Linked DNA regions of Rattus norvegicus. The protein of the gene in region 2 purifies or fractionates together with the protein of the main gene of each other region. This does not show direct contact. Links are inferred from orthologs where the notes say so. Each region holds a gene or a part of one and is shown on either strand. Other genes may lie near its edges.

What was found.
Region 1: the proteins of Cnot6 (region 2) and Cnot1 purify together in Homo sapiens (affinity purification with mass spectrometry; 5 studies listed by BioGRID and IntAct, with this or other methods). This does not show direct contact. The link is inferred for Rattus norvegicus from reciprocal best matches to the Homo sapiens genes CNOT6 and CNOT1.
Region 3: the proteins of Cnot6 (region 2) and Tnks1bp1 purify together in Homo sapiens (affinity purification with mass spectrometry; 3 studies listed by BioGRID and IntAct, with this or other methods). This does not show direct contact. The link is inferred for Rattus norvegicus from reciprocal best matches to the Homo sapiens genes CNOT6 and TNKS1BP1.

The regions. Positions count from the first base shown.
Region 1 is NC_086037.1:9,316,739-9,320,383, reverse strand, and holds part of Cnot1 (CCR4-NOT transcription complex subunit 1), read right to left. Parts: intron 2,736-3,645; coding exon 2,505-2,735; intron 2,055-2,504; coding exon 1,914-2,054; intron 756-1,913; coding exon 576-755; intron 1-575.
Region 2 is NC_086028.1:34,529,235-34,533,623, reverse strand, and holds the start of Cnot6 (CCR4-NOT transcription complex subunit 6), read left to right. Parts: upstream 1-1,497; 5' UTR 1,498-1,714; intron 1,715-1,895; exon of another isoform or gene 1,896-4,389. UniProt on the Homo sapiens protein: Poly(A) nuclease with 3'-5' RNase activity.
Region 3 is NC_086021.1:90,540,697-90,544,920, forward strand, and holds the start of Tnks1bp1 (182 kDa tankyrase-1-binding protein), read left to right. Parts: upstream 1-1,309; 5' UTR 1,310-1,444; intron 1,445-1,494; exon of another isoform or gene 1,495-2,349; intron 2,350-3,711; exon of another isoform or gene 3,712-3,868; intron 3,869-4,170; 5' UTR 4,171-4,189; coding exon 4,190-4,224. Other genes in the region: FACT complex subunit SSRP1, read left to right, coding at 1-25.

The DNA.
Region 1 (3,645 bases), on a different chromosome or scaffold from region 2:
GAGTTTAACCTTATACTACATAGAATCCCAGAAAAAACATATTTCAAATACGTCTGAAATCAAGGTATCTTGACATCCAACCATCAGAATGAGTTTTCTGTAAGACCATTTTCTTAAAAACCAGGATAGAGACCTGAGTTTTCTGTAAGACCCTTAAAAAAAAAACAACAAACAAACAAACAAACAAACAAAAAAACCAGGATAGAGACCCGAGAACTTATTGCACCTGGACATACCCACGCATACACGCACACAGACATGACAAGTCAACAAGATGGCATGCCACAAAAATACTGAACATTGTTATATGTAACAGTAAAACTCTGAAGCTATACATGAAGATTGAAAAGTGACTTTAAAAAACTGTCCTCTGAGCGCACACACATGTATGAGTGTGCAGACACTCACACAAATATAATTTTAAAATGTTTATGGAACCCAGTAGTTAACATTGCAAACAAAAATCTAAGGCACTTTTCATGGACACATCGAACATAGACATAAAGAGAAACATCAAATCTTCCTACAAGATCAACTTTAAAGCTAATTACTAAAGGAAATATAAGAACTCTTACTTTAATGTTTCTGTAGGTTTCATTCAGAACCATCTTGTTAAATTCAGGATTCTTCAATGTATCAAGAAAGTTTGAATACAAGCTATGAAAGTTTGGCTCAATACTGACTCTTTTCATAACTAGATACTGGGAAACCCAAGGCATAAATTCTTCCTTCACAGTTTCTTTAAGCTCTTCAACCTAGCCAATAAACACGACAAAGTAGTAGAGAATTAGTATTAAAAAAAAATGTAAACAACAGATAAAATGAGGTCTGGGTTCTCATAGCACACAGCATCTGGCTTCTTACAAAACATGGTATTAAACTGTTAGGCTTGGCCTTTCCCATGACACTTCAACAACAAACAACCGTCAGATTTAACAGTGGGTGTGGGCTCTTCTTTTAAAGGCAAGGTTTCCTATGCAATAGCACAGGCTGACCTCGCCCAAACTCTTCAAAACTTTCCCTCAGCCTCACAAGTGCTGCTATTACAAACTTACACCAAAGCCCAGCAGGTTAACGTTACAGATCAAACCTACTTACCTTTTTTTTGTTTGAGGCAGGGTTTGTCTATGTAGCCCTAGGTGGCTTGGAACTCACAATATAGACCAGGCTAGCCTCAAACTCACAGAAATCCTCTTGCCTCTATTTCCCTGTGTCAGCAAGCTCAGCCTGAAACCCACTGTCATGTCAAAGCAGTACCTTAGCAGGGAAGCATCATTCCTTATGCTTTCTAAACCTCTACTTCATGTGCTCACAGGGCCTAATAAGCAATTATAGTAGATTCTGGAAGAACATAAACAAAACTTTCTACCAAAGTTAGGCATGGTGGTGCATACCTTTAAATCCCAGCACTTGGGAGGCAGACAGAATCTAGAGGCCATCCAAGTTAACATAGTGAGTTCCAGGTTGGCCAAGGCTAGTTAATGAGACCTTGTTTCAAAGAAAGGAAGGAAGGAAAAAAATAACACTTCCCTTCTCAGGAGAGCATGACATTATTTCAAAAGGTTACAAGTCACTGCAAAACAATACTACAACAAAGGATACTGTTTAATTCCTACAAAAAAAAAAAAAAAACCTTAAAAAATGTTTTTAAAGTCATGTGCCACCACACCCAGCTAAAATCATACCTTTTAACCTGAGTTTATTGGCTTTAGTTTCTAGACAGGCTCTGCAGTGATAGCTACGTGATAGAAAAGCCACCAGCTCCTTATGCTTACTTCAGCCTCCTCAGGAGCTTGGACTATAGACAGAACAAACCAACTGACTTAACTGAATTCAAAACAAAACAAAAACCAATCCCTCCATCCATCAAGGAAAAGAAGAGAGCATTTCATAAGCTATTACATCATGCTTACCTTTTGTGTCATATTTGACTGTGAGAGATTGTTGAAAATAAAAGCAATTTTCTCTTGAATATTCTCTGGGGGCTCCACAATCCTCTCAGTTTGATCTGTGGCCACAAGCAGTGTATCGATATTCGTTGTGTTTATGGAAGGCTGGAAGTAATAATGCACTGTTAGAGCAGCTGAGGTGTGACTGGGAAATCCTAGAAGACAGAAGTGCTGCAAGTGCTCAGAAGAGGAGAGCACTGGACTCCAAGCCCAGCTTGTGTTCAATTCCTGGCACCCAGATGCCAGAAGGAGAGGACTAACTCCTAAGACCTCTGACCTCCAGATACGCATCATAGGACACATGCACACAAAATAAACAAGATAGAAAGGTAATAAAACATTTAAAAAAGATTACAGAGATTCCATTAGCATGAAAAATGAACAGGGTATATAACTACACTGGTAAGATCATTAAATCCATCCCTGAATTATTACATTACATAGTGCTCTCTGGGACAATGCTGACCTTTATGCTTCCAGTAAAATAACACACAAATTCCCTACTACCTATTCACACCAACAGATCCTGGGAAAGCAAAAGGACCTGCTACTTACTGGCACATCTTTCTTAAAGCTGACTCCTGTTGGCTTGGTGACTGTAACCGTTTTAGCAACAGTGGTGGTTGTTGAGGTGGTCACCATTGTGTTAACCTGACCCGCAAGAGGGGCTTTTGCTGGAACCTGGGCCTGGGCCTGGGCCTGAGCCAGTGCAATACTTCCAGGGGTAGTGATAGAGCCCTGCATTTTCACAGGAGGATCTCGAGACTGTTGTCCATATTCGATGTACTACATGGGCACAGAGGGAAACATACAAAGGCATCTTAATAGAAATCAAGAATTCTGTTTTATGAAAGGGTAAGAATAATTTTAGTTTTCTATTAATCCTTCCCTGACATGGGCAATACTTAAGAGGATACTGAAGACCAATAAAGATAAACTAGTATGTTAAAGTCCTTTAAACTAGCCTGCAAAAAGAAAAGAAAAGAAAAGAAAAGAAAAAGGCCAGTGCAGTCTCAGGGTGAGCTGGAGAAATGGCCCAGCGGTTAAGAGCACTGACTGCTCTTCCATATGGCGGCTCACAATCATCTGTAATGGATCTGATGCCCTGGTGTGTCTGAAGACAACAAATGTGTACTCACACACATTAAGTAAGTAAATCTTTGGGGGAAAAAAGCAGTCTCAGATATCTGTAAATAAAATTCCTTAAACCCTTTAAAAATTTCTAAATTTATGTCAAGCTACATTTGATTGAACCTCAGCATAAACATACTACACTGTGTTTTGTATATCAGTAAGACTCTTAATATAAAACAGAAGAACTATAACTGCAAGCAAATTTAAGCAGAACCAACAACAGTGACTGACACTTTACTTTCAGAGCTCAGTCGGAAGACTGGCATGGGGTTCACCTAATGTTACATCAATCATCCCTACCTAAACAGTAAAACCACAACATGTAATCTCTTAATAACTAAAATACTGTCTGTCTGTCTGTCTGTCTTCCTTCTGGGAGGGTGGGAGTGTGTGTGTGTGTGGGGGGGGGGTGGTGGAGCAAACTATCCCTATGTAGCCCTAATCTGACTTGATTTCAAGAGATTTGCTTACCCCTGTCCTCCCAGTGATGGGATTAAGGTGTGAAGCAACCATGTGCAGCTTAAGTGATTTGTTCAAGGCGTTTGAGGACTCAGGTACAGGG
Region 2 (4,389 bases):
CTGTGAGGTGGAGGACAGCTTGATCTATAGATCGAGTTCCAGAACAGTCAGAGCTACACAGAAAAACCCTTTCTCAAAACAAAACAAAACAAAATAAAAAACCAAAAACCAAACAAACAAAAAAGAAAAACAAGTTTATAATTTTTAAGCTGTATGCCATTCCAAGTGGCGAAATGAAGCTACATGCTGCCTTGGTCCAGCCCAACCAGGATACAAAGCATCCCCTTGTCGTATCCTACCTGTCCATTAGTCACTTGGCGGACATCTTGGTTATCAGATGAACTGTTGTGGTATTACAGTGTTAAGTTCAGCTAACCCTTGCATTAATTAATTAATAACGGCTCCAATGTATAAACTTGCACAATATTTGTAATAACTGTCCACTTTTGTTGTTCGTTCTTTTATTTACCTCATTGTGTCTAATTGACCATTTAATTTATTTATAAATTAAGCTGTTTTATAGGGATGCATGTATGGGAGAGTAAACAGTATATAAACTGTTGTTCTAAAATCAGTGCTATTAAGTCTTAGAACATGACCCTGAGGATAAGGTATAGAAAGGAATTGATGCCGTAAACATTCTGGGAGGTGAGGACAAGATTTGAACCAGACACTGAATGACTATTTCCTTGGTGAAAGATGCAAGTCTACAGGTCTAAGAATGGGAGTGACTCTCAAACAGAAGTCCTAAGGAATCCATAAGACACATAATTAGACCTCTCAAACCAACCTAAAAATCTTCAAAGCAGTTGAGAGAAAGCAGGCAAGTCCTTACCAAAGGACAACTTGAAACTGGTAGGCTTCTCTTCTGAAGTGATGGGTAGGACGACCGGCACCCCTCAGGTTTCTAGAAGAACCAAGACCCCCAGGCCCTACACAGGTCAAACTGTTGTTATGGAATTAAAGGCGAAGAGGACACTCTGAGTAAAGGAAAACATGGGAACTTGCCGCTGTCATCCTGGGAGCACAAAAGTCCTTGGGGCCACAGAGCTCCAGAGAACCAGGAATGTTGAACACACAGGGGCCACTCCACAATGGAGGAGGTAAACATACCTTTTTTTTCCCACCCAGAGGGCTGGGAGTAAATATTGTTAATGATCTGGTGACCCTTTGCCTGTCTGTGGAGGCAGAGCTCACCTACCTTTTGCTATAGAGGCAGACCTCACCCAAATCCCCTACAATGTTTATCCCAGACTCTTGCTCCCTAGCTCTCAGTTAATAAGAAACATCCTTAGGGGGGATGACACATGTACTTTATAACCTGTTGACCTCTAAGCTAACTCAGTCAGAGAGCACACTAGATTCCAGGCCCTTTAGCTATAGAACCCACTGTCTTGGTCACGTGTACTTTGCAAATGAGTTTCTAAGTAGTCACACCTCAAGCTTTATTGAGCACCTGGAATTGGAATGATTGTTGCCTGGAAACCTGGAATGGGAATGACTGTTGCCTGGACATTTTTTTCCAGATTGCACTGTGTTTTTAAATATGCTGACAATGAACTGCCTGGCATTGGACTCCCTGAAGTCTGATCCAGGTTGACAAAGTCAATGTGAACCAAGCTTTCATTCTCATCTCTTCGTGGGTTGGCTTTGCTGCCTGGACACCTGCAGGATCCCCCTCATTGGCAGACCTTCCTTAAAAGAATGGCTAAGGGAAGCTCTCCAGAACTGAAGAAAATGGTAGCTGACCCTTCTAAGAGGAAAACACAATGAGGTGGGTAAACTGACTTAAATGTAACAGACTCTTCCCCACATGAGTTCTCTTACTCATGTTTTATGGTTAAGGTAGGATGGTGTGGCTCGTTGGTAGACCATTTATCTAGTACCCGAAAAGCCTCTAATTCCTCCTCTAGCACCCCACAGGACAAAGGATATAGAGGACAAAACGGCGGCAGTAGGTTGTGATAAGCTGTTTATGGGTATGATACAGCACAAGAAAACTACAATGGGGTACAACTGCAACTTTAGGGAAACACAAGGAAGGCCAAGCGGCCAATAGGGAGTCCTGGGAAAGCAAAACAAAACAAAACAGACAAAAAATAGGCTGACACACAGAGCAAACAAGAAAAATGCAAAACCCAAACGTTTAAATGACTGACTTAGTCGTAGCACTTCAATGGTTGTGCTAGATGAAGTAGTCTGGGGGCTGGCAGAGGCCTCAGTGGTTAAGAGTGTGCACTGCTCTTACAGAGGACCCAGATTCAGTTCCCAGCCTCCTTGTCAGGCAGTTCCAGGGGGATCCAGTGTCTCTGATCTCTGGGCATCTGCATTCACATGCACGCGGCCAATCACACACACACACACACACACACACACACACACACACACACACACACACACACTTAGAAAAATGAAATAAATCTTGAAAAGAGAAAGAATGATGGGTTAAAAAAAACACAGTTCAGGGGCTGGAGAGATGGCTCAGCGGTTAAGAGCACCCAACTGCTCTTCCAGAGGTCCTGAGTTCAATTCCCAGCAACCACATGGTGGCTCACAACCATCTGTAAAGAGATCCGATTCCCTCTTCTGGTGTGCCTGGAGACAGTGACAATGTACTCATCATATATAAAATGAATAAAAAACAAACAAACAAACAAAAAAAACCACAGTTCAACTATATGTTACCTATAAGACACAAATAAAACTGTTAAGAGTTTGAATATGGGGCTAGAGAGATGGCTCAGCGGTTAAGAGCACTGACAGCTCTTCCAGAGGTCCTGAGTTCAAATCCCAGCAACCACATGGTGGCTCACAACCATCTGTAATGAGATCTGATGCCCTCTTCTGATGTGTCTGAAGACAGTGATGGTGTACCTACATACATAAAATAAATAAAATCTTTTAAAAAAGAGTTTGAATATATGTCCCCCCACAGGCTTCTACAATGGGGGTTTGGTGGCTAATAGGCTTCTGGGAAATAATTTGATCCTAAGGACTCTGGTCAAAGCAATTGGTTTTTCTTTCATGGATTCTCGATGTGAAGTCTCGATGTGTTTGGAGGTGGAGCCCAGTTAGAGGACATAGGTCAGTAGGTTGTGCCCGAGGAAGATGTATCTTGTTCCCTTACTCTGCTTTCTCTCTTCTTAGCCACCATTAGGTGGATGAGTTCCTCTTCCACATGCTCATGGTCTCTGCTTCATGCCAGGCCCAAAGTGATGGGTCCAGTAGCCATGTACTGAAGCCTTTGAAACCATGAGCCACCATAAGTTACTTCATGTGACTTCGCCACAGCAACAAAAACTGTCAGAGTAAGGAAAGGGAACAGATGGGGAAAGATAAAGGAGGCCCAGGCTGAAATGGAGTACTTCGCCAAATATAAGATTTGTTCCTTCAAATAGAAGAGGGGCCACTTCACTGGTTTTATGGGCCAGTTGTACTCTCATCTAAAGATAGCACAAGAAAGAAAACCATGAATCCCTATCTCTCCTAACTTATGTAAATAAACGCATGAAAACATTGGCAGATCAAATCTAAGAATGTACAAAGAGGATGACATTCTTCCACTGACAGGGATCCATCCCAGTTATACAAGGTGTTTCAGTATCTGAAGATCAACAGGAAAAGTCCTATGACTGTATCAACTTAAGCAGAAAAGCTGAAGATATGTATTTGTGATAAAACACTTATGAGAGAAACTCTGTGTCTGTGGGCAGGGGAGGTAGTAGCTTAGTTGAGTAAGTGTATACACGATTAGTGCATTAGTCAGGGCTCTGTAGAGGAACTGATTGAATGAATGGATGGAATGAATGAATGAGTGAGTGAGTGAAAGAATGCATTAAAGATTTATTTAATTATGTGTATGAGTGTTTGGCTTGTCTCTGTACCATGTGCGTGCCTCGTACCCAAGGAGGTCAGAAGAGGGCATCAGATCCTCTGATCCTGGAGTTACAGACAGTTGTGAGTCCATGTGGATACTGAGAATCCTCTGCAGGAACAATTACTCTTAACTGCCAAGCTCTCTCCAGCCCTCCTGAATCTCAGTCTTCTTTGGAATCCTGAAGTAGGTTCTACTACTAGAGAAGAAGCAGCAGGTTAGATGAACTTGCCAGCGGGAATGAGGGCAAGCAGGCAAAAACAAAACCCCAAAATTTCATTCTTCCATGCCCTTTATATAAGCTGCCACCAAAGTGTGGCCCAGATTTAGGGTGTGTCTTCTGACCTCAAATGATCCAGATTTTAGAGTAAGTCTTTCCACTTCAAATGATCCAATCAACAAAATCCCCTGGGTGCCCAACCTTGGATTTTAGTTATTTCCAGATGAAGCCAAGCTGGCAGCTGAGATTAGTTATCATGCCTAGCATGTGTAAGGTTCTGAGTTTGATACCTGGGACCACACAAGCCAGTGGTGCTGCATGCCTATGAGCTGAGCTCGGGAGGAAGTCAGGAGGA
Region 3 (4,224 bases), on a different chromosome or scaffold from region 2:
CTCTGCCTCAGGATCTGATGAGTAGAGGAAGAGAATTCCTGCCCTTGCCCTGTCACACCTCCAGGCTCACACCTCCAGGCTCCCTACTCATTTGGTACCAGTGTCTATGGATTCTGTGCCATCTGAGTAACTGCTCTTGGTGGCTTCCACTTCCCTGAGGCTTTGAGGGAAGCACCTAACCTCTGCTTTGCAAGGAAAGCTCCATGCAATCTGGAAAGAGACTGGGTACTGGCAGCGCATCGAAGGATCCAAGTCCTCATCCTACTTTGCTACTTTCCTGACTGTAGGGGCAAAACTGCTTCCTGTCCTGTTCAAGTTGCTGCAGCAGGGGTCATGCGAAGTCAGGCCTGTAGCTCCTAATAGGGGCCTATTTCTACTTTTATTTTGTATTTCTGGTCTGTGAAAACAATTTAATAAAGGGAACTGACTTTGGAAACGATGTCCTTTGTCTCCTTTCCCACTTTGCATGCTGTGGTGTTTACCTTCCCTGACTGGGCAGAGCCCTCCTGCCCAGCTGGGAAGCAAAGTCTCCAGGTACATCATGTCCTCCCCAGCTGACAAGCATTGGTTTTCATCCTTGTTTTTGAAACTGTGCCACTTGAGAGTCAAGAAATGAGTGCTGATCTGATTAGGAAGCCTCTCAGAGTTCCTTCCACTCCACTCCATTAGCCAACAGAGGGGGCAGGGGCAGCGGCGGCTCTTAATCACCGTATGAGTCAAGGGTCTTACAAGGCTTGAGATAATAGAATGAGGATCGACTTTCTACTGTAGAGTGGAAACCTGAGTCAGGTGGATTGGGGAAAATGAGTTAAGTTTGTGGTGTTAAGTGTGGGAAGATTCCGGCAAGGGAGGGCTACAAAACTTTGGTAACTGCGTGTAAAAGATCTTAAAGGAGACGTAACAGGAGGAAAAAAGCTACCTCACTTCTCACAATGGTTCTTAATCTGAATTTATCCACCTGGGTTGGCCACGTCGTTTGTAGCTTTTAGAAGACTCAGGTGTAACAGGAAGACTGTTCGGTCCGCCAACGGTTCCTTTCGTGCTGCCCGCGCTCTATGGTGCTGTAATCAGTGTAGGCTTGGGGAAAGCTGTCCGGGGCGGTTTCCTCTCTAGGCAGTCATCTCGGTGGCGCTGGGGTAAAATTGCGTCAGTTTCGCCTAAATCTGAATCAGGGCCGGCCCCTCATTTACAAGGTCATGAATAATTATGTAGGATCTGTGCTTGTTTGCATACGGTGCGCCGGACTCGGCTTCAGCATCCTTTTCCTACTCCTGGTTCCCTACATGAATATTCATGAAAGCGTGGGGCGTGCCTCTGGGCGGGGCGAGGGGAGGGGCCCCGGGGCTTGCACTGGCTCGGTCCCGTGGTGACGGTGGCGGCGGTGGCAGCAGCGGTCACTAGCGTCGGGGTGTCTCGCTGAGTGAAGCCGGTCCCGGGGGAGCGCGTGAGTGCGCGGCAGCCGGAGGGGGCGGGGTCTGGGGATGGGGGCGGGGAAGGGCATGGAAAGAACCCTAGCAGCCAGGACCTCAGATTGGGGCGGCAGCGGTGGGAGGGGGTCAACAGGAAAGTTTGCGAGGGCCTGGGGCGCTGGGGACGCTCGGGCGCTGCGGAGCTGGCGCGTGTGTGCGGGGGTGGAAGGCGTCTGTGCAGTGAGCCAGAAGAAAGCGGGGAGAGGCGAGGGTGGGGCGGGGCCGAGGGCGGGCGGAGCTGCTCGAGGGACCCCCCTCCTTGCCCTCACCGGTCCCCTTCCATGGCTCCCACGGCACGCCCCCATCCACCCCAGGCCGCCCCCACCGAGTCCCTGTCGCCAGTCCTCAGTCTGTTCCTTCGCGGGCTGCTTGGCATCTCGCGCAGTCTTCGGCTGCTGCCGCCCCCTCCTTCTCCACCCTCGTCTGCTCCTCCTCTTCGGCTAGCCGCTCGGTGTCCGTAAGCTCCCCAAGGAGGTCCTCCAAACAGCCCCTTGCCCTGGGCTGTTCCGTCTTCCTGTTTGCCCCCCTCTTCCAACGCTTATCCCTCCTGACCATACTAGCCGAACATCCAGCGGGAGACCCTTAGGGACCACCCTGCTTGCCCTCAGGCCCTTCTGAGTGCCCATCCAGGGCTGGGGCTACTTAGCTCCTTTCCATTCTTTGGGGGCAGCCTCGACTCCCAGGGCTGCTTGGCTTGCCTAGTCCACTAAGGGTGGGGAGTTCCTGAGGTAGTGCGATTCTGCAGCTTATGGCCATGGCGTTGGTTACCTGGGGCTCCTGGCTGGGGCCTGTCCACCGTAGCCACCTCCCCTCTTGGAGGCTCAGAGCCTGTTTTCATCTCTCCAGCTCCTAATAGCCTCAGAGTCCATCAAGCCCCCAGGTGAGAGGGTTTTTCCTGTTCTGGACTGGGTTTTCTCCATTTCCAACCACCCACACAGTATCCCTTGCAATAATGTTCAAGGACAAGGAAGCAATCTTGTATATATTTTTAATTTAATTTTATTTTTTCTGTCATCTCTCCTCCCTCATGCGTTATTCACCCACATACAAGGGAAACAGCCTGTGGTAGTTGGCTAATCAGCCAATTGACACTGACAGAGTCTGTACCCTCTTTAAATAAGCTGGGAACAGGGTCAAGGGGATGGGGACACCGTTTGCCAAGGCTGGGCACCACAGGTCGCTTTTAGAATTGAGAACTGTCTTCTCAGACCAGCTGGAGTGGGAGGGGAACTTTGAAGTTGCTGGAAGGGTTGGAGAGGGTTGGGTTGCCCTCCAGGGCTATGTGCATTCCAAGTGTGTGGCGGCTTCTCCCTTGCTCTTGAACCAGAGGAGCAGTCCTCTCTGTTTACCACTCTGCAGAGCCTGAGTGGTCTTGTGAGTGGGAGGGTGCTTCAGCAGCCAAGGAGAGAACTGAGGGGGTGGAATGCCTGAAGAGTTTGAGGTGGGGGACATGAAGGAATGGTCTCGAAATGCAGCCTCTAGGGTAGGGGGAGAAGTAGGTAGAGGTGGTTACCAAGGATGTTAGCTCACGGGAGACACTGAATGGAGTCACATTAATAACGGCCAACTGTTACTTATGGCTTCCATGTTTGGTATTTTGCATGCATCGTTTGGCTTGAAACTCATCTAAAACCCGATTTTTTTACATAGTGAAACAGCCTTGGAGTAGTCGCACAGCTCTAAAGTGATAGACCCATTTAGCTGTTAAATCTTACAATATCAGATCCAGAGGCTCCTGGCACATGCTACTACCATGTGGCTATCATCTGGTTTAATTTCTTCTCACCCCTCAAAACTCCTTCAGGATGCACACACATTCCTATTCCACAGGCTTTGCAGGTCCCTCCCTGACTGTCCTGGAAGGGGGAACCCCGGGGAGTTTTCCCCTCAGTTATACACCCCACCCCCATGCAATCAAGCCCAGTCAGTCCTCCCTGCCCATCCTGGGCCGGCTCCTCCTTCCCCTTGGCTAGGCCCTGGAAATCCAGTGGGAGGCCATTGCTATGGTAACAGGACTAGGCCCTGGCTTTACCTCATCAAATTCCAAGCTGAAGCTAAAACGATTGAGAAATTAAAGGGAAAAAATGTATTCCAGATGTTTACTTTTTATTTCTTATTTCCCTGTGTTTGGATGAGACAGCTCATGAGTGCTGGAGGGGGGCAGGGTTGTGGAAGGAGAATGGGGGGGGGTAGGGAGCCACTCCCAGCCATAGAGGGAGGGAGGAGAATGGGAAGAGGGGGGGCCGGCTGTGGGGCGGAGTCCCAGGTTGGGGAGGAGCGGGTTTTTCCCGTCTCCCATGAGGTGATTCCAGAGACTTGAGAGTTTCTGGCCTTCTTGCTGTGCTCAGAGTGGACACCTCTAGTGGGGCTCCTGACCCAAGAGGGCTGCCTCAGACACTGTAAGTAGGGTATCACAGGAGGGAGCTTGGGGTGGTGTGGGTGGAGGTGGCTCCCTGATGTGCTAGATCATTCGGAGGTTCAGAGCCAAGAGTTGGAGAGTTGTGTCAAGAGTTGAGGATGTGGCTGTGGGGAACCTTCTCAGCCTCCTCCCGGAGTTCTCTCTCTTCCTGTCCCACACTGCCTGGGTTAGAAATAGACTTCCTTGGCTAAGCCTGTTGCCTCTCCTGGCTCTCTTCCTCCTCCACCTCTCCCTTTCCTGGGTCTTCACCCACCCCGGCTCACACTGCTTCCCATTTCTCAGGCAGGGTGTGCCGTATGTGATGAAAGGATCCACTCTCAGGGAAAGCACGGCCGT